Linked DNA regions of Tamandua tetradactyla. The protein of the gene in region 2 interacts with the protein of the main gene of each other region in a pairwise test. Links are inferred from orthologs where the notes say so. Each region holds a gene or a part of one and is shown on either strand. Other genes may lie near its edges.

Region 1 (7,288 bases), on a different chromosome or scaffold from region 2:
AATCAAAATCCCAACAACTTATTTTTCAGAAATAGAAAAACCAATAAGCAAATTTATCTGGAAGGGCAGGGTGCCCCGAATTGCTAAAAACATCTTAAGGAAAAAAAACGAAGCTGGAGGTCTTGCACTGCCTGACTTTAAGGCATATTATGAAGCCACAGTGGTCAAAACAGCATGGTATTGGCATAAAGATAGATATATCGACCAATGGAATCGAATAGAGTGCTCAGATATAGACCCTCTCATCTATGGACATTTGATCTTTGATAAGGCAGTCAAGCCAACTCACCTGGGACAGAACAGTCTCTTCAATAAATGGTGCCTAGAGAACTGGATATCCATATGCAAAAGAATGAAAGAAGACCCATATCTCACACCCTACACAAAAGTTAACTCAAAATGGATCAAAGATCTAAACATTAGGTCTAAGACCATAGAACAGTTAGAGGAAAATGTAGGGAGATATCTTATGAATCTTACAATTGGAGGCGGTTTTATGGACCTTACACCTAAAGCAAGAGCACTGAAGAAGGAAATAAATAAATGGGAGCTCCTCAAAATTAAACACTTTTGTGCATCAAAGAACTTCATCAAGAAAGTAGAAAGACAGCCTACACAATGGGAATCAATATTTGGAAACGACATATCAGATAAAGGTCTAGTATCCAGAATTTATACTGAGATTGTTCAACTCAAAACAAAAAGATAGCCAACCCAATTACAAAATGGGAAAAAGACTTGAATAGACACTTCTCAGAGGAGGAAATACAAATGGCCAAAAGACACATGAAGAGATGCTCAGTGTCCCTGGCCATTAGAGAAATGCAAATCAAAACCACAATGAGATATCATCTCACACCCACCAGAATGGCCATTATCAACAAAACAGAAAATGACAAGTGCTGGAGAGGATGCGGTGAAAGAGGCACACTTATCCACTGTTGGTGGGAATGTCAAATGGTGCAACCACTGTGAAATGCAGTTTGGCGGTTCCTCAAAAAGCTGAATATAGAACTGCCATACGACCCAGCAATACCATTGCTGGGAATCTACTCAAAGGAATTAAGGGCAAAAACTCAAACAGACATTTGCACACCAATGTTTATAGCAGCGTTATTTACAATTGCAAAGAGATGGAAACAGCCAAAATGTCCATCAACAGACGAGTGGCTAAACAAACTGTGGTATATACATACGATGGAATATTATGCAGCTTTAAGGCAGGATAAACTTATGAAGCATGTAATAACATGGATGGACCTAGAGAACATTATGCTGAGTGAATCTAGCCAAAAACTAAAAGAAAAATACTGTATGGTCCCAATGATGTGAATCGACACTCAAGAATAAACTTGGAAGATGTCATTGGTAACAGAGTTCAGCAGGAGTTAGAAACAGGGGAAGATAATGGGTAATTGGAGCTGATGGAATACAGACTGTGCAATAGGACTAGATACAAAAACTCAAAAATGGACAGCACAATAATACCTAATTGTAAAGTATTCATGTTAAAATACTGAATGAAGCTGCATCCGAGCTATAGGTTTTTGTTTTGTTTTGTTTTGTTCTTATTATTATTACTTTTATTTTTTTCTCTATATTAACATTCTATATCTTTTTCTGTTATATTGCTAGTTCTTCTAAACCGATGCAAATGTACTAAGAAACGATGATCATGCATCTATGTGATGATGTTAAGAATTACTGATTGCATATGTAGAATGGTATGATTTCTTAAAAAAAAAAATGGTCAGCACAATACTGCCTAATTGTAATGTAATTATGTTGGAACGCTGAATGAAGCTGCATCTGAGCTATAGTTTTTTTTTTGTTTCTTTTTTCTCTTATATATTTTTGTACTTTTTATTTTTATTTGTGTTTTCTCTCTGTGTTAGCACTTTATTTCTTTTTCTGTTGTCGTGCTATTTCTTTCTCTAAATCGATGCATATGTACTGAGAAATGATGACCATACACCTATGTGATGATATTAAGAATTACTGATTGCATATGTAGAATGGATTGATTTCTAATGTTGTGTTAGTTAATTTTTTAATTAATAAAAAATAAAATAAATAAAATAAAATAAAAGAATAACCTCCAGTATAAACTCTCAACTCTACTTGAAATCTCTCAGCCATGGACACTTTATTTTGTCTCATTTCTCTATTCCTCCTTTTGGCCAAGAAGCCTTTCTCAATCCCTTGATGCTGGGTCCCTGCTTATCCCAGGATTTCTGTCCCACATAGCCAGGGAGATTTACACCCCTGGGAGTCATGTCCCACACAGGGGGAAGGACAGTGATTTCCCCTGCCAAGCTGGCTTAGAGACAGGGGCCACATCTAAGCAAGAAAAGAGGTTCTCTAGGGGTGACACTTAGGCCTAATTTTAAGTAGGCTTAGCCTATCCTTTGCAGAATATGTTTCCTAAGGGCAAACCCCAAGATCGAAGGCTGGACCTATTGGTTTGCCTGTCCCCACTGCTTGTGAGAATATCAGAAATTCTCCAAATGGGGAAGGTGAATATTTCCTCTTTTCTCCCCAGTCCCCTAAGGGGACTTTGCAAATACTTTTTTATTCACTGCCCCAAATACTCTGGGATATATTGGGGCACCACATTAACCTGAACAAACCAAGAAAATGTCATGCTCTATTCAAGATTTCATGTACTTATTGTGTCCAACTAAACTTACCATACAAGTTAAATTAGGAAATGCACTACCCAAAATAAAAATTTTGCACCCAATAACGTTTTCTCTCTTTAGTCTTAGACAGAAATTGAAGTTATAAAATATGGATGATATCATCCTTTCCCCTGCATTTTGATATACCTTAATCCTATCCAAATCAGTTTCATTCATATCTCTATTCGAAGTCTGATCCCTTTTTCAACTTTATAAACAGTTCCTGCATGGGGTGGTGCTGACTTTCATAGCTTCAGAGCTCTAACTCTGAGTCTCATGAATACACGCTTTTTTTGCTTAAAATCCTTCTTTGGCTTCTTGTTTTCCTGATAGTTAAGTCCAAACTCCATAACATGGTAAACAAGATTCATGCCTCTATGGCCTCTTTTCATATCTGCAGCCATGCTGGTCACCATTGTTCTTTTTACAGTGTGCTTTATCTCCGCTGCCATTCCCCTTTCATTTATTCAATATTCGACCATTCTTTATTGTGCACTCTGTAGGAGATAAAGTCTCTTTTGGGCGTCCAAAATTCATGAGTCAATAGACATAGTTCCTGCATTGTCTCCTCTTTATTAAGTTTTATTGTCACATTGCAGTCCTGGTATTTATTTGTTTCTCTCCCCCATTGGGTGTAGAGTCTTGGAATCCAGGAATGTGTTATTCTTCTTTGTACAGGCAGTAACAGTCACAGAACCTTGCACTGAGTAGATGCTCAAAACCTGTTGGTTGAATGAGAAAATGTGAGCGAAATTTTTGAAAGGAATTATACAAATATCAGCAAAAACAAGAATCTTGTGCTGTCCCTGACTTTGCCCTGAATACATTATGATCACTTATTCATACCAAACTGTGAGCTCCTAGTAGAATGCCTTTAGGTACTGTATGGTGTTGGAGATATGGTAGGCGGTTAGTATACACTTGTGGACTAATGAAAAATGACCACACAAAAATGGAGAATTGGTGTGCAAATTTGGGGCTTGGGAGAGCTTTCTGTAGGTAGTGGCAATAAATAATTCTGTAAGTCTTTGAAACAGAATAAGGGTTATTCTTATTACTCAAATATTTTTGTCAGTTGTCATTTTCTTCCTCTTTTTGCAGAGTAATCAGGATGAATGCTTTCTAAACAAGTTTACCATTACTCATTTGGAAATTTATATACATCATGTAAGACAAAAATGATTCAAATTTAAGCTTACAAAATCTTGAAATCAAAGTATATCTCTAATAAAAATGAACTTTTATTCCAAATAGTATGCCATGAAACAAAAGAGTATAAGTATCTAACTGTAGACATAGGAGAAAAAGATAATGAGTCCTGGATTAAGGGCGTAAGGGGGAAAGGAGATATATCTAAGGCAGAATCAACAAGGTGAGGTGACATTGCATATTCGGGGTTAGGCAGAGATAAAGAATTTCTGGGTTTCTTGGATAACTAGGGAAGGGTTTTTAAAATGTTACTGATTCTCTGGTCAATTCGGTTTACATAACTATCCAAGGTTCTGATCTGGTGAGAAAGCCTATGAGCTAAAGCATATATTGCAGAACTTGCTACGAGAGACACAGGAAGTTGCTTGGAATGAAGGAGGCGGGGAAGAGGCTGCAGAAGGTAAAGCTTCCGCCAAACAAAAAGAGTGCTTCCGGTCACGCTGTCGTCGCCGCTTTCTTCGTTAAGGTGAGTGTAAAGAAGGGGACTGATAAATCTCACAAATGAAACCCAGTAGACCCTTGGAAGCTTCCTTCCTTGCCTCCACGTGGTGTGGAAATAAGCGGAATTCATTTTCCAGAATACACTGAGTGAAGAAAGCTTGTGGCGCCTCCGGTTATGATCGCCGCGCTGCTCCCTTCCCCCACCCGCCCCAGTCGCGCTTCAGGAATGGCAGGCTCTCATCCCCCCTCCTGACTGCGGTGCGCCTTTTATTCTTGTGATCCCCGTTCGTGTTCTTTCACCTCTCTTCTTATCCCGGATCCTCTTCTGGATCTTTCTGATCCTGAGTCATTCCCTCTCCCACAGATCTCTTTCCTACCTCCCACCGCCATCTTCCACGCCACCCCCTTTCTGCCTCAGACCTTTTGCAACCCCTGTCCCCTACTCTGAGCGTCATTCTTCCTTCGGACCTCAGTGTTTTACTCCCTCTGCTGGCTCCTTATCTTTCTTCTCTTCCTCTTGCCGAGGTCAGCGAATAACATATTTTCCATAATCAAGCTTGACCTCTTCAGAGTCAAGGCTGTTTTTTTAGTTCTTTAAAAAAAATAAGCAAGGAAGCAGAAATATCAGCGTCCTAAGAGACATAAAGAATTGTTCAAATTATTATGTCCTTTTATTTTTTTACTCTAAACATTATTACACAACAATTGTTGCCTTCTGCTCGTGGCATTTTTATCACATGATGGCATAAAATTGAATCCCCCAATTTTTTTTGTGTGGGCAAATACAGAGGATTTTGCGTGTCACAGTTTGGAGGTGGAAGTTTTCCCATCTCCTTTAGTACTTCTCTTAGAGAAGTGGCTGACAGGAATGACATCTAATCATAAATATATTCCCTCATGTAAGTTGGGTTTATTAAGCAAATCCTTTTCTGGTCTCTGGTAGCAATATTGAATAGCAAGTTGGCAGATTTTTTAGACAAAGATTTCCCCCAGGAGTTTGCAAGTGTTATTTGTTTGCAATGTGATTTATTTGTTGCGATGTGAACTTTATCTTTTTCTAAAAAATTTGCTGTAATGTGAAATGTGTCTTTCTGTTCCGTTTGTCATCATGTGAAATTTATCTTGTGAGAATGTTAATAATTACAATTTTTTGTTTCAATTCTTTACCCAAGAGTGGGGAACGGATCGTTAAATTTATCTTCATAAAGAATTTTCAGCTTTGAAGAGATATTTAACCAAAGATCTTGAAAACCAAGTTACTCCTTCCTCTTCTTCCTGCTGTAATTAGTGGGTGTTATGCTTGCCAAAATAAGTTGTGATTCTCTTTTCTAGTCTAGATCTAATTTTCAGTTTTTAGAATATACGAGGCAGAGATTTCATGGAACCAAAACTCTTAGAAACTTTTTCAAAGGATAATGTTGTTGGCCTATCTTTATTCTCTATTCAGATCTTTATTACTTAGCGTTTAGATGTCACCATACTGGTTTTAACCCATTTTGCAACCATCCATTTAGTCATGCAATAATTTTTTTATTGAATACTTTTATGAGCCAGTATTCGAAGCTCTGAGAATACAGCAGTGAAAAACATAAACAAAGTCTTTTAAGTAAATTTATATGTAATAAATATATGATAGATTATGATGGGAGTGGGTTGTACTGTTTATGTAGGATGGTCAGGAAGACTTCCCTGGTAAGGTGACATTTCAACAGAGACCTGAAGAAAGTGAGGGCACAAATTATTCAGATATTACTGGGAAACAGAATATATCTGTGTCAGGGGCTCTGCTTTTGTTTTTCACTCTGCCTTCTACATTTCTCCCTCTCCCACACCCTATCATAGAGCCCTTCTGCAGAGTCATAGTGGAACCTTCTTTATACTTGAATAACTGGATCCGTCCTCATAATTTTCCCATATTCCTTTTTTTTTATTGGCCACCAGCATGTCTCCATCTGCACCTCATTCCCATTCTCTTTGTGATGCATTGTGTGTGATCCTATAGCACATTTGCTTACTCTCCTACTGATTTTTATCACTCCATGTTCATAAAATATTGCCCATAAATGTTTGACATGGTAATTGAAAGGAATTCAGTGTCTGTTCTCCCGATGCTTTTAAATATAGTTTTTCCCTTAATATTCAAAGTCATCCTCTAAGTTCAGTATCATTGTCTTTTAACTAATGATAAAAATAAGACTCAGAGGGGTATGGTAACTTGATAAATGGTGGCAAAAGAATTCATCTAGTTAGGGTCTGTCAGACTCTCAGTCCTGGGCAAATTCTCTCTCCCTCTCTCTCCCTCTCTCTGTTTATTGTTGAGCAATAGGAAATATGCAGAATATTTTATTTTATTATTCTATGAAACACAGTCAGTCTGGGTATAGGCGTTTCATTTTTTATATTAGTTTCTTTTCACAAGTCAGAATATATCAGGTGCTCACAGTACTCCTTACTTACAGATATTAAGTGCTGAGAGACATGATGAGTATTTTTAGCTCAGTATTTTTTTTTCAAGGAGAGAAAGAGTTTATTGCTAGGCATGTAGTAGGAGAGCAGATGGCCTAGCAGCCCAAAATCTGTCTCTAGGTTAATATTTTTTATTGAAAATTTCAGTCAAGCAGAAGTTGAAAGAAGGGTACAGTGGACACTGTTATACTCTAACCCAGATTCAACAATTTTAAACTTGCTATATTAGCTTCCTCTATCTGTCATCTTCCTGTCTTCACCTGTCCATCCATCCATCCATCCAATTATCCAACCATCTATTTTTTATTTATCTGGTTTAGTGAACCACTTGAAAATTGTAGGTGTTATTTTTAAGTAAACTTAAAGTTCATAGAGAAAGATGCACATATCATAAGTGTACACCTCAAAACATTTTCACAAAGAGAACACAACTGTGTAACCACTATGAAGATCAACAATTTGTATCTGGAAAGCCCTTCTTGTACCCCCTA
Region 2 (7,410 bases):
AGAGATGGGGTGCATAAACAGAAGTGGCAGCAGTGCCTAGTGGAAGTGGGGAAGGCTGGGAGACTTTTTTTTGTAAATACATGAGGTTGCTCTAGGAAATTCTCATTGGTAACCCAAGGAGGCTCTATAGGTCACTAGGATCCTGCAGCTGATGACAAAGCAGTGAAACTGAGTTTCTACTGTCACTGTGATCCCACTCTAAACCCCAGACAGGTGTGCCCTGGAGAAATATGATTTCATTCAGGGTGATGTCCTTGAGTCATTAAGGAAAGATACAGCTATGTTCACTGCATGTGTTAAAGAAGACAGAAAATTTACTTTATGTTAACAATTTCAATATTTTTTAAAGTTGAGACAAAAACATAACCCTATGTGTGGTAGATCATGTAGATGGCTGCAATAATAACTCTCGTACCACATGCTCTTTTATGAGTGAGCTCACCACTGTCTAATCAAGAGGTGAAGTCTATTTCCCCTCTCTTTGAGTTTGTGCTGGCCCTGCTACTACTTTAGCCAACAGAATGCGGTGGGATGGATATCCTGGGTCTTCTAAGCTTTTAGCACTCCGAGGTAAGGCAACCACCATGTCAGAAGTCAGACTAACCTGAGACTGCCATGCTATGAGATAAACCAAGCTAGACTCATGGAGAAACAATAAAGAGAAAGAGATGCCCAGTCAGCCCCTTGCTGTTCCAGCCATCTCATCTGAGGCACCTGACATACGACAAAAGAAATCATCTAGGACATTTGAGCCTCAAAATATACCACATGAAGCAGAGATGAACCATCCCCACTGATTGTTATATAACTGTGAACAAATAAATGATTATTGCTATTCTAAGTTAGGTTTGGGGAGCTATGGAATAGAAAACTGAAACTCTGCTTCAAGGAAAACCCATATGCTTTAGTTTGTAAACTGCTGGAATGCAATATACCATAAACAGAATGGTTTTTAAAATTAGTGGGGAAAATTCTGGACCTGTAAATTGGGTCCCTCCTCCTTTCATTGGGCAGTGCATGGCCTTCACTACCACTTCTTAGTTTGTATAAAAATATAAATTCAATGGTTCATTTTTAAAAATAATCAGTTTATGCAATGGTCAAGCAATCTTTGTATAGAAACTTGTATCTTTCCTCTTGCTAGAACTAATTTTGATAATTATATTAGGTTGGACAGATTGTTTTCATTATTTTATTGAGGTATGATTTTCATACAGTACAGTTTTGACAAACACATATATCACTGCAATCAAGATACTAGAACTGTTCCATAACACACCCAGCCCCCCCAAATTCCTCATTGTGCTTTATAACCAACCACACCCCCACCCACAACTTCCAGTCACCACTAATCTGTTTTCTGAACCATAGTTTCGCTTTTTACGAATGTCATACAAATGGAATCTTACTTCTTTTGTTAGTCTAATGCATTTGAGATTGATCGATTGTGTTACCGGTATCATTTTATTCCTTTTTATTGCGGAATAGTGTTCCATCGTATGGCTAGAACACATTTTATTTATCAGTTCATTACGGGAGGGAGTTTGTTTTTGAATAAAAACAGGTAAGTCATAGTACACATAAACATTTGTGCACAGGTTTTTACGTGAACCTGTTTTTATTTCACACAAATAAATACCTAAGAGTGGAATTACTAGGCTGAATAATAAGTGTATGTTTAATTTGTAACGTTTATACAAAAGAGCCGATTGCTTTTTGAAATGAGAACCACCAAGACCAGAGGTCACATCCATTCTTGATCACAAATGAGGGGTGACCCCTGGTGAGCAGAGATGGGATGAGAAAATCAGGCCCTCAAACCAGTCTAACTTTTCATCTAGTTCTGTAAAATCAATACACTCTTCCTCCAGCCTCACATCCTCACATCTCAGAAGAAGCAGGACAACTTTAGTACCTTTACTGTGCTGTGAGGCCCTCCCATGATTTATTTTTCTCAATCTGTGAGGTAGAATGGCTCATCAGAGATCTGGCAATGCCTTTCTAGATATAGCAGTAGCATGGGGACCCTCACCAATTACTTTGCCTATTAACTATTTCTTTTCCTTCCATCCTGAAAGAAAATGGAGCATTTGAGATAACAGCAATAAAACTACTGCCATGGTTTAGGGGTGCTTCTTTACCTGGTCATCCCTGAGTCTAATCAAAAATAATAATCGGGGGCTAGGGAGAAGTACCTAGCCCTTCCTACAGTGTCACACTGCTTTCGTTTTGTGTCTAAACCATGCACTATGCAAAGAGGACTTTTATTTTTAACTGTTGATTGATTTATAAATGCTATTAGTGCAGAACAATGTCACGGATAATCCCCCCAAAATAATAATAATAGAAAACAGTTCCATTTGGTTTTGAAATACGGTAAATTGTAAACAGTTTATTTCTCTTCTTAAGTTTTCCATAGATTAATATAATACTAGGTTTGCTTTTCCTAAACTCATGGGACGATGGCATGGATATACATATTAGGGACACATTTAGCATGGAGAAACTAGAGTCTGAAAACTAATTCATACACAAGTCAAGATTTAATGTATTATTCCTTCAAGGGACTTGAAGGAAAGCCTGAAAGGAACTAGGGGGATGATGAGCGTTAATCAAACAGAAGTACTTATCAAGATTTAGAAGGAAGCTGTAGCAAAAAGGGTATTTTCTTCCTGCAAACTGCCTTTGGTCAAGAGTCAAAGGAAGTCTGACTGGAGAAGGGGCATACCACAGAAGAATAGGGGAGAAGTGGATTCGTTGAAGTAAAGTGAATTTCCAACTTCATATAAAAATGTATTTTTCCACCAATAGAGCTGCTTACTCAGAAAATGCAGCCTTGCTGTGGCTCGGTGGTCCCCATCATCGGCTGGGTTTAAGTAAGACATATAGTGATCATTTGCACACTTTCTTGCGCAAATCTTTATTAAAAGCTTACTCTGCACATGATTCCGTATGGATCATGAACAGGAATCAGAACTGAGCCTGTTCTGCCGGTTTTGATATTTTTAATGTGCCTACACATACCAGGGAGATGTTAGAATGCAGACTCTGAATCTGTAGGTCTGGGATGGGGCCTGATTCTGTATTTTAATCCGATTCCAGGCGACACTAATGATGTCTGTGGATCACCAGTGAGCGGCAAAGGGTTCTAGTAGGAAATGAGACATGCATATAATTATAATTACAATACAAAGCAGTAATTAGTCACCAGCACAGAAGCTCCATTAATTATCAACAAAAAGCTAAGACGGTCTTTGCCCTTCTATGCAACCACTGTTTCTTCTGTTTTCATTAATGCTGTTTCTTCACTACTGTTCCTTCTGAGGCTGCTGTTGCACTCGCCTTAGCCTACAACAGCCTTCCCCCTCCTCTCCTTGGACTAGCATTTTACTTGTTTTTCAAGGTCTACTCCCCTACCACTCCTTGAAGCCTTCCCCGGGGCCGCAGTCGGTTAACTGCCCTTTCCACTTGTCGCTCCAGACACCACCCAGCGTAAACCTGGGGCCGTAACAACGCTTCCTTCTGCCGGGACGCGGAGGCCCGCTTTCTCATTCCCCGCCCGAACCCGACTTCCCAGCGGTCGCTCATCAGCAAGACACCGCCCAGAAAACGCTCCGGAGACCGGCAGCAGGCAGGCCCGACGCTCGCGGCATGGCGGGCGTCCCTCAGCGCCGCCGTCTCCTCGGCGCCCCCGGGCCCTGCCCCCACCGGCGGGCGGCTCTGCCGAGCGGCCCATCATCCAGCGGCGGCGGCTAGAGAGGCAGCGGGACCCGGCGCCGCGAGAGGCGGCCTCGGGGAAGGGCGAGGCGGGTCCTGCACGGCGGGCCTCGCAGCCACTTCAGGAGGAAACCCGGGTCCTCGCCCTGGGCGGTCTCATCTGCACAGCAGCCATCGCACCAGCGGCCCTGGAGGAGGGAGAGCATCGCGGAAGGTGATGGCGAGCGGGGGCGCCCGGGGGCAGGGAGCACGGGCTGGCGGGGGCGCCCGAAGGCGGCTCCGGAGGAGGAGGGGCCTGTGAGGGGTCGGGACGCCCGAAGGCGGCTCCGGAGGAGGAGGGGCCTGTGAGGGGTCGGGACGCCCCAAGGCGGCTCCCGAGGGGGAGGGGTGAGGGGAGGGGGAGGAGGAGGAGGGGCCTGTGAGGGGTCGGGACGCCCGAAGGCGGCTCCCGAGGGGGAGGGGGGAGGGGAGGGGGAGGAGGAGGAGGGGCCTGTGAGGGGTCAGGACGCCCCAAGGCGGCTCCCGAGGGGGAGGGGCCTGTGAGGGGTCGGGACGCCCCAAGGCGGCTCCCGAGGAGGAGGAGGGGGAGGAGGAGGGGCCTGTGAGGGGTCGGGACGCCCCAAGGCGGCTCCCGAGGGGGAGGGGGGAGGGGGAGGAGGAGCCTGTGAGGGGTCGCGGCGCCCGAAGGCGGCTCCCGAGGAGGAGGAGGAGGAGCCTGTGAGGGGTCGGCGGTTTCCGGCGCCTGTGGAAGCGCGTCCTGGCCCGGCCTCGGCCGGCCTTCCTCTGCGGGGTTCCCCTCGGGCTCTCGGCGCAGGCCCGGCCGAGCCGTCTCCATCCTAGGTGGGCCCCGCGCGGCGGCCATGGGAAACACCGCCAGCGAGCGGCTGTCCGGGGAGCGCCACGGCGCCAAGGCTGCTCGCGGCGAGGGCGCGGGCGGCCAGGCCCCGGGCAAGGAGCACCGGATCCTGGTGGGGAGCACGGACGACCCCAACGTCTTCAGCCTGCCCGACCCCAAGGTGAGCGCCCCGGCCTGCGCCGCTGCGGTGCGCCTGGTTTCGGGGCGCCTCTTCCTTCTCACTGGTCTGGGTTGAGGGTTTTTTTAATTAGACAGATTTTCTGGCTGGCCTCTAGCGAGGCAGCCTCAAAAATAGCATAAAGAGGTGGAGTTATTTTCCTGGTTTTCTGACCAATCTGTGGCCGCCTTTTAGGACGGGACTAACAGACCCCCCAGACCCCTCGTTCTTCTGGCGGGCCTGGGGGCTCTTCTGGAGGACTGCTGAGCTGGACATGGTTGCGGAGCTGCTGCGCACAGGCGGCAGTTCTCTGCCCCCGAGCTGGGGAATGGAGCTCAGCGCCTCTCCCTCCGCCGCTCTGGCCGGGCTCTCAGCCGGAACCGTGCTCGTGGAACCTTTATCCTGTTGGAGACCAGTGAAGGCCGGCCACACTGGTGACTGTCCACTCTCCACCCTGCGCCTTCGAGTGGGGTGCCGAGGCAGTGCTGCTGCCGCGTCCAGGCCCGCGTGTTCGCGCGTCTCGGCTTCCCCGCAGTACCTCGGCGTGGCCACGGCTCAAAGAGACCCACAGCTTCCCTGGAAGGTGGTGACTGCCCCGTGCTTGTTACCATCCTGATGCCTCCGTCCGTTTTGGAGTGGTTAGCATTGACTGTCGGTCCTGCACCCCGCTGGCCGCCTCGGGGGGGGGGGGGGGGGATGGTGACACGGGAGGGGGGGAGGTGGCGGGTGTTCGGTGACTCGTCCTGCCCGCCCGCTGCCCCCGAGCCGGGCTGCCGAGAGTGGAGGCCGTGTCTCCAGCCACACTGGTGGCCTCTGAAATTGGGAGTCCGTGGTGCTGGTATTTTCTTGGATCCTGATTAAGAAAATAATCACAGAGAGAAACGCATTTCTGGGGGGTTCTTTACCCCTCCTTTTCTCCCTGCCCCACATCAGGACTACTAAATCCTTTAGGCTGTCTACACAGCCATTAGATTATACTCAAGGTGACGGGCCTCATTGTATTTTTAACCTTTTCTTACGCTGAAGACTCGGGATTTAAGTTTTTTTTAAAACTATGTGGCCTTAATTAAAGCCACGCTTGCTGTCTTTGAATTAGGGTCAGTTTTGGATCTTTCTTTCTCTCACCGCAAACTTGCTATTTGTGAAGTAATGGAATTATTTTAAGTAATTCCTAAGGTCTCTTCCAAATAAAATTCTGAAATTCTGAATCTGTCTTCTTCATTTCTTGCCTCAACGTTTTTTTTACTTAAACGCTTTCAAACTCGAGACTAGTTGTTTTGCTTCTGGGAAGTTTTGCTGACTAACTTGGGAGTAAACAGTCTTTCTGTTGTCGGCTGTCCTCGTGCCTCCCTCAGAGATGCCGTGTCTTACGGGAAAGGGCCTTTCTCCAAAGCTAGGCATATTAATAGTTTATGCCTTCATATTTTAAATGTAAAATCCAAAGGCATAAAAGTAACTGATAGAAAGGGTGATAGTGAGAGTCACTAAGGCATTGTCAGCCTTCCTTAGTTCGGTAGTTCCTAATTCTCTTTGTACCTTTACATAAGCCAATACCTTATATAATTGGAAGTTTTCTTCAGTTCTCTCTCCATTTACTTTGGATTGTGTTTCAGAGTGTAATTTTGAGGAATATCAAGAGACAGTAGAGAAGGTAAGCTACTGCAACCATTTTGGAAGGAAAGCCCAAATGAATAAGTCATCCTTTTTTTGTTTTGTGTTCCAGTAAAGTTTTATTTGTGGACACAAATGGATTCCATATCATCCTTTATTTTTAACTAACATTATTTTTTGTGGTAATTTTTTTTCCTTTTCTATGAAAAGTAATATATATACAAAAAAGCAATAAATTTCAAAGCACAGCACTATAATTAGTTGTGGAACACAGTTCAGAGTTTGATATGGTTACAGTTCCACAATTTTAGGTTTTTACTTCTAGCTGCCCTGAGATACTGGAGACTAAAAGAAACATGAATTTAATGATTCAGCACTCATACTCATTTGTTGGACCTACCTTCACTGTATAACTCCACCATCACATTTGATCTCTCTCCTACTCTTTAAGGGTATTTGGGTTATGCTCATTCTAACTTTTTCATGTTGGAAAGGTCTGCCACTAATATGGGATAGGGAGATGAAACTATCTGATGTTCTGGAGAGGCTGGGCCCTCTAGGTTTCAGGACTTATCTGGTCCAGGGACCCATCTGAAGGTTGTAGGTTTCTGGAAAGTTGCTCTAGTGCATGGAACCCTTGTAGAATCTTACATACTGCCCTAGGTGTTCTTTAGGATCAGCAAGAATGTTTTGGTTGGGGGTTGGCAAGTTATGATAGGTAGTAATGCCTGACTGAAGCTTGCCAAGAGTGACCTCCAGACTAACCTCTAAACTCTATTTGAACTCTCTCAGCCACTGATACTTCATTACACTTCTTTTCCCCCTTTGGTCAGGATGGCATTGTCGATCCGACAGTGTCATGGCCAGACTCATCCCTGGGAGTCATCTCCCATGCCTCCAGGGAGACGTTCACCTCTGGAAATCATGTCCCACGTATTTACCTATTTACTAAAGCTATTTAATCCAGTCTAAAGAGGGGATTGGCAAATTTTTTCTGTAAAAGTCCAGATAATATTTCAGACTTTGCAGCCATATAGTCGCTGTATAACTACTCAGTTCTGTGGTTGTA
Region 3 (7,348 bases), on a different chromosome or scaffold from region 2:
CAGAAAGTATCTGTAAGCTTCTATATGCAAGAAGTCTATAGCATCATTTATTATTTCAAACGAGATCATCAGAACACAAAGTTGAACTACCAGGAAAAAAATGCATCCACTTATAAAAATGAATATGAGGAAGGTTTAATTCCTTATACCAGGAAGTTTACAGCAATAAATATGTATTAAGACTGATAGCCTAATGATCATTGTATGGAAACAAAATAAATGATTAAATCTACTCTGATCATCTTCCTTAAGGTTATATGATAAATCTCCTGAGATGATTTTTTTCAAAACTCATGATAATCTTTTCATTTGTTTAAATTTTGTATTTATACCTTCTCCCATTTTACAAAATTTATAGCATGACATACTGGTATAATTAAGAGGTACTGTCAGCAGTATCTTAAAACCTTATACACAAAGCAAATCTTAAAATCTCTGTAATCTTGAAGAATAGTTTATGGAAGTCAGTAAGTATGAAATAGAAAATATTCCAGTATATCAACAGAACACTGACAGTGTGATTCAGGTAAGTGTCTACCACCATTCATCATAAAAAAATTGTACTGAACATATTTCAAAGGACAGAAAAAAACTTACTATTTGACAAAGGCACTTGTGTTCATTGACCAATTTTTCTAGAGACAGACATTCAATCACATCAGCTTCTCCTAAAGCCCCTTCCTTGTCTTGCTTATTTGCCAATCTAGAAAGACAAGTGAAGTAGGTTTTATGACATAGATAATCAGATGCCACTTAAAAATATTTTGATAATATTCTTCCATTCAAAGTTTTAACCTTACTGATTACACTGGTTTTAGAAGATATTTTAGTAGTTATTTCATGATTTCCATTTGTTTATTATTGTGAAAATGAATTTTGTAAGAACAAGACTATAAAGGAAAATTATCAAGAAAATGTTAGTACTGAATAGGGAAACAAAAACAACTACAAAGAGAAAAATACAGTGAATTATTTTCCACAGCCCCCAGTCTAACAATTCCAACTTTCATATTGCATCTTTATCATCTTAAAATACACTGCATCATGTTGTAAGTGTCCAAATCTTTCATATGTTCATTCTGAGTTTGTAATATCTGAGCTCATCTACATTTCCAACATGTGTGTATATGTGCAAATAAATGTGCAATTTACTGGACAAGGGAGACATTTATATCTAATTTACATGTCATTTATAGCATTGGACATAAAAAATATGACACTCAATTAGGAACAAATTAGGAAACAACAAAATTTAAAATCCAAATAAGCTTCTAAGAGAAATAAGAATTACAATAAAATAAAGTGAATTTGCCTATTACATGGCAAAGGTAAAAAAGTTTAATGAATTACAGCATTGGTTAGGATTTAACAGACTCTAAGAAAGGATAGAGCTTTTAAAAATGCATAAAATAAGTCTAACAGACTCCTATCATCAACTTCAAAAACTATCAACATTGAGTTATTCTTGTTCATCTACACATCTTCCACTTTTTTCCAATTGGGTGACATATCTTTTCACCTGAAAACTAAAAAATTAAAATATATATGTATATATATATATTATCACAATATTGCTATCACAACTAACAAAATTAATAATACATTCTTAATATTACTCAATTCATTCATATTCCCCAGTATCTTTTTACAAGTAATAATCTTTAAATCAGGTCCAAACCAGATGAAGAAACTGCAGTTTATCTCTCAAGTCTTTTTTAATAGCTACCTCCCACCACCACCACCTCTTTTCTTCTATGACATTTATTTGTAGAAAATAAGTCATTTTCCTACGGAATTTCTCACATTTGAGATTCTGCTGATATCTTCCTCATGAGGGATTTACATACATAGCCTGCATTTCCTACACCTCATAGATGTAGAGGTTGGATGAGTTCCAGGTTGAATTCTTATGGCAAGTATATTTCATACGTGATGCTAACATTTTAGGAAGTATATATCAGGTTGCTTCACTTTTAGTGACATTAATATTGCTGAGTGGGTTCAGTCAGACTGATCCATCCAAAATAAAGTTCCCTATCAACCTTTCACCTAATGATTTTAGCAGCTATTGTTTGCCTTTGCTTAGTTCCATTATTCTACTAGAGTTTATAAAACAGTGACTTTTAAAGTTTAGTTCTATATGCCTTCTGCATTTATGAGCAGGATTTTTGCTAAAAAACAAACAAAAACCCTTTCATCAACTACTTGGTAACCATTAAATAAAATTCATAGAGAAAAGTTAAGGGTTTGAAACTTCCCTTCAGTTCCTAATTGAGAAAATGAATTTGTCTTCAGGCAATCTCCAAAGGTGATTAAGTTATTTCGTTTTTCTTTTGCTTTCTCCAAGGGCATCATTATAACTCATGGACATTAAAATATATTTGGTACGTTTCAAGCAATAGCAGTTGCTGTTCTTTTTGAGACTCCATGTTTCTCATCTTTTGACAGTGGCAGTCTCTTTCAGATGAGCTCCTGTGTCCTTTTGGTCCAATTCCAATAAATAACTTCTCTGCTTTTTTGTAAAAACAATTTCCCAGACCAGGAATTATCCATTTTTTTAAGAGGCCCTAGTTCCTTTCAGCGGTAAATGGCATTTTACAAGCCACAATAGGTGGACTATAAATATTCAGTTATTGACAATATTGTTATTTCTAGACCCTTTCAGTGGACAAAGCTAGAAAATATGTAGGTTTTTGTAAAAATAAATAAATACATCATGAGCTCATATTGATTGTTCTATTTCAAATCCAATATTACCAAGTTTTTGTTTAGCTTCTTAGATTTTATTTATATCTCTTCTTCTTTTATGTTGGAAACTATGGTTTGCAATGACATAACTATTTGCTTTATCTACAATATATTTAAGTAAGAGTTTCAATATAATAATAGCAATATTGTTACTGAAAGTAAGACTACTAAATGCACGTTGAGATCTTTGAAGTTATTTTTGTCTCTAGGATATATTTCACTAAAGATACAGTCAAAATACTGAGTTTAAAAATTACTTGAAATAATATTTCTCTGGGTGGTTATGCCACCAGCTGTGTTCAATTGTTTCAGGCTGCTTTCTTCAGAAACACTTTCTTTTTAAATAAAGATTTAATTTTTAAAACATTTATATGGCTCCAAATTGAAAACTATAAAAACAAGGTGCTTTTGGAGAGAATATTCTTCCATCTTTGTCCCTTTCCCCCCCTCTATTTTCCTCTATTCTCCTAAAGGTAACCATTTTCATTAGTTTATGGTTTATCTTTTCATTATTTACTTTTGAAACTATAAATAACTATACGGAGGAAACGATATTTTAAAGATCACAATATGGACACTAAGTATATCTACTGCTATTGACTTGTCATTCTTCCTCAAAAGCTAGATACTATATACTCTTCTGCACTATAACATTTTTTTAAGTAAACATTAACTCCTGAAATTGTTCTATAGCAGTATAAAGAAATCATCTTGATTACTTTTTATAGTTGCATAATGATATACCATTGGATATTCAATTGTATGGATATACCATTGTTTATTCAACCAGCAGTATACTGAATGACTTTTGGGTTGTTTCCAGTCTTTGGTTTTTACAAAAAGTGCTGTGAAGAATAGGTGCATGAGAAGTCACTTCTTATTTTGGAAACAGATTCCAAGAAGTGAAACGACTAAGTAAAAGAACAAATGCAAACATTTTTTAGGTATATATTATAGCAATATTTGTATTCCCTCCCTCCCCTACCAAAATCATAACAACTCAGAAATAAAAAAAGGAAGGTAAGGAATTTTATAGAATAAGAGAAGTTTCATTTGTTTTTTCCTATAAATATTTATCCTCTGGCAAATATAAATTTTGAATTGTTAGATTATTATAGTAAAGAAATTGTTTAACATATATTGTTGCATAACTTCAGTTCCTCTATACAGAAAACTATGGAAGAAAGTCACTTGAAATTAAAATAGCAGATACAGTAAAATGAAAAGTGAGGTGAAAGGCTTTAAGCTACAAACTCTTTTTTTGACTGTTCTAGTTATGAAATTTTATGATTTTATGAGCTAAGCTCTATGAGACTTCCTAAAATAGAACGGAATTCAATCATTTTCATGTTAATAAAAAAAAAGGCCTACACATCAAGATTCTTTTCATTCCTATTTATTCCAAATTCTACATCTTTGCAAGTTTTGATACCTAAAGAAAATAAAAAAGTAACCTTGTTTAAACACAAAGTCATTTTTTGTGAGGAATGTTTTTCTATATAATGTATAACTACGATTACAGAGTTGTGCCAAGTACTCCATGTAGGCAGTTTAACAAGGACTTCCTGTTACCGACTAGCTCCAATGAAAATGATCTTTAAGCTAAAGAATGGGCGTCTAACAGGCAGAACCGGATTCTCCAAGTGTGAAGTAAGCAATTTATCCTTATACAGTATTAACAGCAAAAGAACTTTATCTCCAACTTATTTGACCTCATTATTTGGTTTTCAGTAAAACTAACTGTATGAAATCATACAGAAATTAGCCTGTGAACTATAGGATGGAGATTTAAATAATTCGATCAAACCATTACATGAGATAATACTCAGATTTTCTCTCCAAAGCAGGACTCCAACATCGCACGTGGAAAATCAACAAAAGGAACAAGACAGAAAGGTAAATAAATCTTTTTTGCACTTTTAAATATCAGACACCCATAGACTGAAATCTGATTATACTGTGACATTTAAAAACAGCTCAAAAGATCATGAAAGTTACTTCTTTTGCTCAGATTTGGACCAGGCTATAGGCAGCTGATTTGTTCCTATATGCTACTGATTTACAGAAAGGGATTTGGGTACTGGATTTACAGCCCTTAGAAATATATCACTATAAACAAAAATCAACTTCAGAGGAAAGGACTTTTTTTTTTAAAGTCTTTTACCAAACAACTTCTCACTTTGGAAACACTAGAAAGCCAGGTCATATAAAAACAAACAAATTCTTTTATAAACAGACTGTAAATTAAACATACTGTGCTTGCCTGAAAGAACACCTTTACATTTAACCCTCAAAAGTTTATGCTTAACCTTTATAGTTAAGCTAATTTTCTACAAGGTCTTAATTTCCTCAATGTGGTTTCCCAGAATTTTTAAAATTAATTTGAAGAATTTAGAAAATAATCTTAATTGTAAAAAGACCACTGTAAAATATCACAGTACCCAGTTACTTTTTATTGTTTGTTAGCGTATTGAAAGTACTCAAATTATACAATATAAATATTATATTTGATTTGATAATTTGAAAAATTTAATATATTTAGATAGGTCTGATATTTTCAAAATTAAACAATATTTAGACACTTAGTCTGAGCCTATTTTATTATTTGACATTTGTTTAAAGTTATCATATAATTATCACCAGGTTAGGATTCAATAAGCAACATATTTGAAATTAAAATAATAGTGACTGAATAAGTGCTTTAAAGTTGGACTTGAAAGTTAGTCATTTAATACTTAGGATTAATAACATTTTACCTTCATGGCTACACAGTTCTAAATTTAACACAGAGGCCATTCTGTGTATATACAGTTTACTTGAATGAGATAAGTGGGAGTTCAAAATTAAACAAGAGTTTATTATTTAAGCAAAAATAAACTTACCATTTTACAATTATTTATAGTAAATAAATAGCATTTAAAGATGTTACAAAAAAGTCAGATAATTTAAATTATCAGAGAAAGAAGATTTGCAATTTACAATAATTTTGTTAGTCTGTTTATAGAAACCACTCTTCTGCCCTCATTTAAGTGACCAGAGAGTAATATTCCAGTATTTTCAGCTTCTTTCACCTTGAACTAGGGAAATTTGCAAGTTATCTTCATACACAAAAGCAAAAGAGTATTTGATGTTGGATAAAAACTAGTTATATTTCTTGAACTATGCTACTAAATAGAATAGCTCTAGAAAGGAATGTATTACTTAAAATATATATATATATATATACACATATTTTGTATAAATAGATATATATACATTTCTCTTAAAGCCCTCTGTAATTTTTATTCCTGTTCCTGTCCTTGGAAATGTTTCCTATCTATAATAGGGTGGGGAAAGTTTTATTTGAGTCACACCGTTTTTTTTCCTATCTCTCAGAACAAATTGTCAAAATTTATTACCATATGTATAAATTAGTGTTCTAATTTCCTGTTTTCAAACAGCATATTTAAGCTCAAAGATATATTAAGTTATTGCTAGGAGAATTCTATATAGCAATGCAGTAAGATAAACATGCTGAAAGACGATTCATATTTGGTTAGAACACTTCCAACATTAAGAAAATAAATTTAAGGTACAGAAAAGATTGTGTAAAATGATGGTCTACTCAATTTTATCTAACCTAGGCAATTAAATTATTTCACAACTATAAGATTAGTATTTTTCTATCTTTATGAACTCTGTCTCTTCTAATCTTAAATTCTAATAAGTTTAATGTCTCATTTTATCTAATTTCAATTTGTGAAGACATAAGATAAGGCAATAAAATTGGAAATAGTTATACATGAAATGATAAGCATGCAACTACCAGAAAATACAATTTATATACAGCATGCAGATGCATCTAAGTACCTAGTCAGTCAATTTCAGCACAGAAAAATTATCTTAATTCTATAATGATAATAAACTATGACTTTTAGTTCAAATGTACAGATACAAAAATTCTTTCCTCCTGCTCCAAACACACAGAAATTTTTGATACAATCTTAACCTTAAGGAAAAAAAAAAAGACAAAATTTAAAATACTCATTAAATTTGAAAGTAAGAGAGAAAAATTTCCAGGTGCCAAAAATGAAGAAGGAATATACTCATAATAGTCGAAGCGCATAATAGAAATTGAAGTTAACTCCATGGGCCTACTGAAAGCAAATATTACACCTTAGAAGCTGGGGTTAGTTTGTGCCTAAACAGGAAACTAAAATTGGATTTCCTAGATGTAGTCCTGTACTAGGAAAAATAGAGCATATTCTTCATACACAGAGAGGAAATTCTCAGTTGGCTTAAACAAGATTCTCAGTTAGCTTACTCAGGATTTTATAACCTATACTACCCCTCCAGACTATAAAAAATTGCTAGAGAAAAATCAAGCCCATATTTATATCACTCAGGCTACAGTGGGTAAACTCCAAGGGGCCCAAGTTATGATAACCACAAAAATAGACTCAGAATATTTCCCAACAAGAGGAACAGCAAACACAACAAACAACGGAATTTATATTTATACCTGAGAAACCAGAAATAGCTGAAAAATGTGAAGGATCTCTAGCATAAATATATTTAAATGTTCAAAAAAAATACATAAAGACATAGGCTCCATAAACCA
Region 4 (7,928 bases), on a different chromosome or scaffold from region 2:
TGAGATGTAGGGTAGAAACCTTATCTATTCAATAAGGTCTTTGCAAGGGATGTTTTGCTAATACTTTCTGGAAAACTGTACCTTGCAGTTCTTTAAGTTAATGGAGTCCTTGGGAGAGTAAACTTTTTTTATTTTGATGAAGTCTGATTTATCAATCTTCTTTTATATGATCACTGCTTTCCGTGTCCTAAGAAACGGATGCCTATCCCCCAGTCAAGAAATATTTCTCTGCTTTTTTGTCTAGATTTATGGTTTTGCCTTGATGATCCACCTCAGACTAATTTGGGGGTATGGTGTGAGGGAAGGATCGAGGTGTATTTTTTTTATGTGTGATAACCAGCTGTTTCAGCATTGTTTATCGAAAATATTTTCCTTTCTCTGATACACTGGCCTCTGTCAAAAATCAATTAACCTTAAATTTTTGGTCAAGTTCTGAACTGCCTGGTCTTTCTCAATGATACATTTGCCTATCTTTATGTAATACCAGCTATCTTGATTATTGTAGCTTTATAATAACAAGGTTTGAAGTGTGATAGTATAAGTTCTTGATATTTTTAAGGTTTTTATTGACCGATCTAGACCATCTGCCTATCCATACAGTTTTAGAATCAGCTTGTCAATTTCTACAAAAAAAAAAAAATCCTGTTGGAATTTTGATTTGGGTTTTGCAGTGAATCTAAAGATTAAGTTTGAGAAACCATATTGGGTCTTCCGACCCATGAGCGTGCTATATTTCACCATTGAGTTGGGTCTTCTTTAATTTCTCTCAGCAATGTTTTTCAATTTTCAGGCCAGTCGTGTGAAAGGAGCGATGACAGGGCTTGCGGATGGATTGGCTGTAGGGTTGAGGAAAAGTCCCCGGGGGAAGACTAATGCTCAGGTTTCCGCTTTGGTCCCTGGGTACAGATGAGAAGGAAGGAAAGAGCTCCTCTTGTCCCGGATGTGAGGTGAGCCTGGTGACCCCAGGACCTTGCGCTCGACCATCCGAAACCTACCTTCCACCCTGGGTTGGACCCCCGGGCCACCCTTCCTTCCTCTGCTCTGCGGGCCAGAAGGCCCGGGATTCTCGCACCAGCAGGGTCCTGACAGGGCCACGGAGGGTCAGAAAGCCCCTCCCTCCCTCCCATCCTGGCTTCCCCAGCTGATGAGACTTGCCCTGATTCCCCAGCCAGGCTGCTGGGCGTGACCCCTCCTAGCAGGCTGCCCTGGGGTGGGGCGGGCTGGGAAGAGAAAGGGTCTCCTAGAGTCAGACACAATGCCCCTGTCACAAAGAGGGATGACCGCACGTGCGTGTGCAAGCGCGTGTGCATGTGGGGAAGGAGAGCAGACTCATAGGGGGGCCCGGGGCTCAGGGAGATCATAACATCCAGAGAGTCAGACTTGAGGAGAGAAGCACAGGGGGAAGACAGCCCAAGAAGACAGATGGGGGAAATCAGAAGTACAGAGCAAGGGAGGCGCCAAGGCAGGGAGAAAGACAAGACGTGAAGGGAAATTAACAGGGGAAGAAAGAAAGAGGCAGAGAAAGATGCGGGGAAAGAAAGATTGAAACGGGAAGATTGGAGGTTGAGAGGGGTAGGGGAGTTAGATAAAGGACAGACGGTGAGGCTAAGCTGGGGATGGGGCAGATGGAGAAATACAGCAAAATGAGGGACAAAGAGAAAGACGGGTGCAGGGAGATACAGGCTGAGCGAGAGAGACAGAAAGGGGGTGGCATGGGACAGAGAGAGATGGACCGAGACCCAAAGAGAGGTAGAGAATCACAGAGGGAGGGAGAGAGACAGGAGGTGAGAAGAGTGCACACAGGGAGATGGACCGACATGCCTGATGGACAGAAGAGAGACTGAGGCACAGAGACGCAAAGCCAATGGGCAGGGAAGACAGAGAGAGAGAGGGAGAGAAGGAGAGAGGAGAGAGAAGAGCAAAGAGGAAATGGAGAGAGTTGAAGTTAATAATTCACAACATAGAGCCGAAGAGACAAAGAAGAGTGAAAGAGACCAAGGCAGAGAAAGAGAAAAACAGGAAACTGAGGCAGAAAGCTGAAACAGCAAGGCAGTGCAGAAATGAATTTGTTGGCAGGCAGACTGCTGGAGCAAAAGGGGGACTCAGCAGAGGGGTCCAGAAAGTCCCTGTGCCCCTCGTTTTATCAAGTGATCTCCCAGGAGCACCCAACATTTCCCCTCCGTCCTCTTTGATGCATCCCTCATCCCCCTCCTTGGGACAATGGCCAAAGCTAGAGAGCCACCAGTTAGACCTAAGGAAGAACTTCCCTGAGGGGTGGGGGTGGGGGGGTTCCGGCCAGAGGCAAGAGCTGGGGCTGTCCTTCCCCGTCAGCCCTAATTGCCAAGATGTCTTGGAGGGGGATGGGAGAGGATTAAGCAGAGGGGTGCCCCTCCCCCTCCCGGCAATGTCACCTCCCGGTGCCCAGGCGCTCCCCCACCCTGGCCAGGATTACCCTCCGAGAACCAGGCCACGGCAAGTGACATCACTCCCAGTCGGGGCTTAAAACCTCTCCGTGGGAGGGGTCCCGTTTCCTTCGGTCTCTGTTCCCTGAGGACTGGTCCAGGACCTGGGCCGTCGGGAGAGTCCCCGATCCCTCCTTCCAAAAGGTGAGTGCGTGCAAGGCAGGCAGTGGGGCCAAAGGAAGGAGACGGGGATGGGGGAGGGGGTGTCTGCCTTCTTTGTGCCTGTGTCCCCAGCGCCCGGCGTGGGGTCTGACATAAAGGGGGTCTTCAATGTGGGCTGACTGAGCCCACCTGCAGCAGGGGCATCATCCCGGTGTTGGGAGAAACGGGGCTGGGCTGGGACTGCAGCAGGAGGGAGTAAGGGTAGACTATGGGGGAACTGCCACCAGGTAGAGAGGATTGGGGGGTGGTGCTTGCTGGTGAGGTGCTAAGGTGACGCTCCATCGGTTTTCAGGGACCAGGGCTCCTCGGCTCTGCTCACAGGCAACTCCGAAGCCTGCCTCCCTTTCTTTTAAGACTCATATCACTGCTTGGAATTCATACTCACTTGTGAGTTTATCCACAAATTATCTGTGTCCCTCACCGAACCCAGATTTCCTCCAAGGACCTGGGCATGTGGTCGGCCGCCTCTGTAATGGCTGAATAGACAGACGGGTGAATAAGCAAAATAGAATCCAAGAAATGCGTATGCAGGGGTCATTGAGATTTTGCGGCTGCAGCAAGAGGGAGTGAGGGTAGACTCTGAGCCAGTCCTGGGAGCTCAGGGGCCAGGAGGGCCACAGGCTCGGGGAGGGGCCGGGTCAGCCACTGACCTGCGTGACAGCCCCAGGGCCCTCCTTTTCCCAGCCTTGGTTTCCTCCTTGGTGACAACAGGACCCACCCCATAGGGGGCTTTCACTGGATTGCTGTCTCCTCCCCAAGGCCTGGTGCAGGCGGGAATCCCTGGAGGTCCTTATCGTTAACAGCCTCCTGACCTTGGCAGGCACCTTCCTGCCCCAGGGCTCAGTTTCTCCACCTACAGGAGGGGTTTATCTCCAGCTTTCACACTTAGCCTGCAGATCAAGCGCTCAGGGGAAACTCGGGACCCCTGGGACACGCGATACCTGGAGCTCTGAGAAGCAGTCTCAGGCCTCAAGGGCTGCTCCCCAGGGCAGGGGTCGCCCCTCGCTCCACCCTTTGGGACAATGAAATGTTGTCTTGGAATACAACCGAGACTGAAGGATAGTAAAACCTAGCCACTCGGGGTGCTGTCAGGCTCGTTGCAAATTCCTGGTGGAAGGGGGTGGCCTTGCTGAGATCTTGGACACAAAGCCTTTGGCTGGGGATCTGAGAAGCTCCAAACTCCTGGAGCTCCTTCTGTCACCGGCTGCCTCACCTCTTTGCAAAACCCACAACAAGAGTGTTAATGGGTGTTAGACATTATTTTTTGTTGCTAGTCTTTGCTGACATCTTGTCCACCCACCAGTTCCTGGATATCTGGTGAGTGTGTAAACCCTCAATTCCTGGAGGTCATTGCCATTAGCATTGCTGGACCTTGGGCAGGCGCCTTCTTCCTTCAGAGCCTCAGATTCCCTACTGGTGGAATGGGCTCATCCCAACGTCCTGGAAGGACAACTGCATAGCTGAGTAACCTGTGCAGATTCAACGATGGGGACAAGGGAAGTTGGTGCTTTTTCCCAGAGCCTGTTAGGACAAGTCCACCAGTTCCCCTCTCCACAAGTTCAGATCAAGCACTATTGCTCCTTGGAAGAGTGGACGAGGGCAGAAGGGTCCCCAGCTGGGAGAGCAGGAATCCCAGGTCCCCAAGATTCCTTTAGGAAACTGGGCAAGTCATTTTGCCAGATCCAGGAGTCTTTTCTCATCTGTAACATCTGGGGTGATGGGACGTTTTGGTGATGGATGGTGTCAACAGTCACACAACATTGTGAATGAAATTAATACACTGGATTGAATACTTGAAAGTGGTTAAAATGAGACATTGTATGTTGTATATGTGTTACCACAATAGTAATAATAATAAACAACCACTACAGAACTGTACAACATTAGCATGAACCCTAGTGTAAACTATGTACTTTAGTTAATAATTGAAATATAATAATATTGGTTTGTCGGTTGTAATGGTGAAATCTGTGTGTGTGTAGTATACGGGAATTCTGAACCCTCTGCATGATTTTTTCCATCAACCTACAACTGCTCTAAAAACTAAATAATCTTTAAAAGGTGGGCAAAATAATAACACAGTTCCTACCTCCTAGGGTTGTGCTGAGCATTTAATGGCATGCTGCAAAGGGGACGCTTGTGTATTACTTACCTATTGCTGTGTCACAAACTCCCCCAAAACTCAGTGGCTGAAAACATTAAACATTTATTACCTCATAGTGTTAATGGGGGTCAGGAATCCAGGGGTGGCTTAACCAGATGGTTCTGGCTCACAAGGGGGGCAGGCAGATGTGTACCAGGCTGCAGTCCTTCGAAGGCTTGATGAAGGCTGGGGGAGTCTCTTCCAAGGTGGCCTCTTGCGTGGCTGCTGGCAGGAGTTTCCCTGCACAGAGACCTCTGCAGGGTTGCTTGAGCATCCTTACAACATGGCGGCTGATTTTCCCAGCGATCCAGGAAAAGACAGCAAGGCAGATGTCACCAGGTCTTCTAGCCTCAGAAGTTAGAGGCTGTAATATTTCTATAAGATTTCTGTCATGTCCTGTTGGCTACGCAGGTCAGCTCTGCCATGGAGGCCAGTACTCAGGGTATGACGGTCAGGAGAGAATGGTCAGGCACCATCTTGGAGGTTGGCTACCAGGGCTGGATGTGTGGGATTCCGTGCTGTCATCGTCCTTATCTGCACAGAACTTCGTATGCCCGTCCCTCCTGGCCCTGCTGATTCGACTCCGCTTCCCACTTGCTTACTCTGCTCCTGTCATGTTGGACACCTTGTTTGTCCTCCAAGAAGCCTCCTGATCTTTTGCACCTGCTGTTCCTTCTGCCAAGATCTTCCCAGGGTGGGCGTGTGGGCTGTCACATCTCAGCTCCGGTGTCACCTCCCCGGAGAGACCACCCCCCCCTCAAATGGGGCTCCACTCCCACCAGATCTGGTCACCGTCCTGCCTCCCACACCCGGCATTTCCCTCGGCATTCTAAAAACCATCTGAAAACATCTTGATTTTCAAAAAATCTATCTCTTTGTTCATCGTCAGTTTCTCTGACTGCAACCCGTAAGTTCAATTGTGTGAGAACAGAAATGACGTGTGTTTTATTTCTCATGATATTCCCAGTTCCTAAAACAGGCGGACCCTCAGCGGTACTTAACACAATGAACAGGAGAAACTTAATTTCTAGTAAGTAGGACCTCTCCCTACTCCTGTGAAGGATAAGATGGAAGAGAGGGGGTCGTGGGTGCTAAAATAAATGCCATCCATTTTTTATTCATTTGTTTATTTTTCAAATATTTATTGGGGATGCTTGAACTAAAAGTTATGTCTAGTCCCTGCTGGTAGAATCGGGGGACAGACAGACAAACAAACATGTATGTCCTATTTAATATAGGGTATGTCCTGAATGACAGGAGAGAGAGAAAAAAATGTGCCGGCGTGTATGTGACGCCCAATGTAGAGGGTGAGAGATGGTGTCTGAGTGAGAGGGACCTGGTAGAGGAAGGGGGCTTATCTCAACCTTTCTGATGTGGGGAGCGGCTGAGGCCAATACCCAGAAAGGCTGACAGGTTTCCTGGGTCCATCTTGAGGGTTTGATGTTTGTCCCCAGGGCCATAGGGAGCTTGGAAAGTTTTCAAGTTGTGGTTGTGTTTTGAGATCTCCTTGTTGGTTTTGCATCTGCAAAGGTGACACACAGGCACACAGGGCTAAAAAGTAATCCAAACTGTAAAAATGGGGAGTGGATACAGCACACCTCTCCAGAGGCAATCAGTTCTGCCAATGTCTTGTTTCTTTCCTGGATTTTGTTCTATGCATATACAAGCATATATCATATGACACTTTTATACACATACAACAATCTTTAGACCATATATATATATATATAGTGTATGTATGTGCATATATATATATATATATCCACTGCCTTGTTTTTAAATTCACAAAAAGTAGCATATGCTACACACTGCTCAGTACCATACTTTTTATTTGAATATATGTCATGTATATATGTATATAAAATGTGTATTATATGTATTATATGTTATGTATTTTATATGTTATGTATAATTTGATTATACATAACATCTATTACACACACCTCTTATAAAGGTGTAATTCTGAAAAAGCTAAAAACTTGACTCTCAAATACCTATATAATAAACACAGGTCAGGGATTTATTTAGCTCACTAAGAAGGGAACCTGCTGTTTCAAATGAGAATTCAAGGAACAGAGGTTCATACAGTTATTCAAGAAAAGGCATGTAGAAAAAAAATTTGCCAGGTTCAACACAAAATTTGTTAAAGTTCTACAGGACAACCAATAAAACTGCAATCTTTGAGGTTATCTTTTTACCGGATAGAAATCATTTGCAACCAGAACTTCTAGAAGTTATCATCTACCTGACACTGTCTACCCCAATCAATAATAAATTCAACATTTCCCTAGAAAATGAAATAATCCTAGAGATCTTTGAAAATCAGTTCATGGAGAACAGCCTTACTCTTTTTCATGACTTCATAATATTCCCCTTGTGTGGATGTGCCATTATTTTCTTAATAATTTTCTCTTTTGCAAGTCTTAGAGGTTTCTGGCACTCTTAGGAAATCATAAATATCCTGGGTTTAAAATGCTTGTATAAAGGACCTGCTTGCAAACAACAACAAAAATAATTGCCTTACTAAGCATTGGGTGCTATTTTAAGCACCTTAATCGTGTTAATTCCCTTTAATCTTCACAACCACCTAAAGAGGTAAATGCTGTTTTCATCCCATTTTACAACAAGGAAACTGAGGTACGCCCTGAAGGCAAGTTACTGGGGCCAAGGAAATGTGGCGATTTACGCAATCCACACTGCGACCACCTGACACAGGGAGCACGCTTCTTCCCAAGGAGGCAATGCTAAGAGTTAGCGACCTCATATCTCAGCCAGCCTGGCAGCTCGCTGGCTTTCAATCACCCATCCCTGCTTACCGGACTGGCACAGCTTTAGCACTGAAAGCCCACCTGTGTCCCAGGACAACTGGTCAACCTCCGCCCTCTGTATCTGAAGCCGAACGTCTTTTCCTGTGGTCATAAGGAAGAAAAGATCTCAAAAAAGGGGAATGGTGGATCAGATTTTCATAAGGATAAAATAGTGATACAGGCTTCCATTTATGCTGCTTCTCTTAATTTCCAGGGTTGCTGTAACAGAGTACCACAGCCTAGATGGCTTAAATAATAAGGAATCTATTGTGTCCTGGCTCTGGAAGCTACAAGTCCAAAATCAAGGACCAGGCTTCCTCTTAAAGGGGAGAACCCGCTCCACGTCTCTCCCCT

What was found.
Region 1: the proteins of PRKAB2 (region 2) and MAGED1 interact in binary tests that used the Homo sapiens proteins (3 or more experiments, as listed by UniProt). The link is inferred for Tamandua tetradactyla from reciprocal best matches to the Homo sapiens genes PRKAB2 and MAGED1.
Region 3: the proteins of PRKAB2 (region 2) and STX19 interact in binary tests that used the Homo sapiens proteins (3 or more experiments, as listed by UniProt). The link is inferred for Tamandua tetradactyla from reciprocal best matches to the Homo sapiens genes PRKAB2 and STX19.
Region 4: the proteins of PRKAB2 (region 2) and CRX interact in binary tests that used the Homo sapiens proteins (3 or more experiments, as listed by UniProt). The link is inferred for Tamandua tetradactyla from reciprocal best matches to the Homo sapiens genes PRKAB2 and CRX.

Annotation. Positions count from the first base shown.
Region 1 is NC_135353.1:118,152,754-118,160,041, reverse strand, and holds the start of MAGED1 (melanoma-associated antigen D1), read left to right. Parts: upstream 1-4,278; 5' UTR 4,279-4,356; intron 4,357-7,288. UniProt on the Homo sapiens protein: Involved in the apoptotic response after nerve growth factor (NGF) binding in neuronal cells. Inhibits cell cycle progression, and facilitates NGFR-mediated apoptosis. May act as a regulator of the function of DLX family members.
Region 2 is NC_135330.1:96,045-103,454, reverse strand, and holds the start of PRKAB2 (5'-AMP-activated protein kinase subunit beta-2), read left to right. Parts: upstream 1-4,399; 5' UTR 4,400-4,577; coding exon 4,578-4,733; intron 4,734-7,410. UniProt on the Homo sapiens protein: Non-catalytic subunit of AMP-activated protein kinase (AMPK), an energy sensor protein kinase that plays a key role in regulating cellular energy metabolism.
Region 3 is NC_135336.1:56,226,733-56,234,080, forward strand, and holds the start of STX19 (syntaxin-19), read left to right. Parts: upstream 1-4,330; 5' UTR 4,331-4,398; intron 4,399-4,406; exon of another isoform or gene 4,407-4,595; 5' UTR 4,596-4,644; intron 4,645-7,348. Other genes in the region: ARL13B (ADP-ribosylation factor-like protein 13B), read right to left, coding at 598-703. UniProt on the Homo sapiens protein: Plays a role in endosomal trafficking of the epidermal growth factor receptor (EGFR).
Region 4 is NC_135342.1:13,270,852-13,278,779, forward strand, and holds the start of CRX (cone-rod homeobox protein), read left to right. Parts: upstream 1-4,906; 5' UTR 4,907-5,050; coding exon 5,051-5,106; intron 5,107-7,928. UniProt on the Homo sapiens protein: Transcription factor that binds and transactivates the sequence 5'-TAATC[CA]-3' which is found upstream of several photoreceptor-specific genes, including the opsin genes.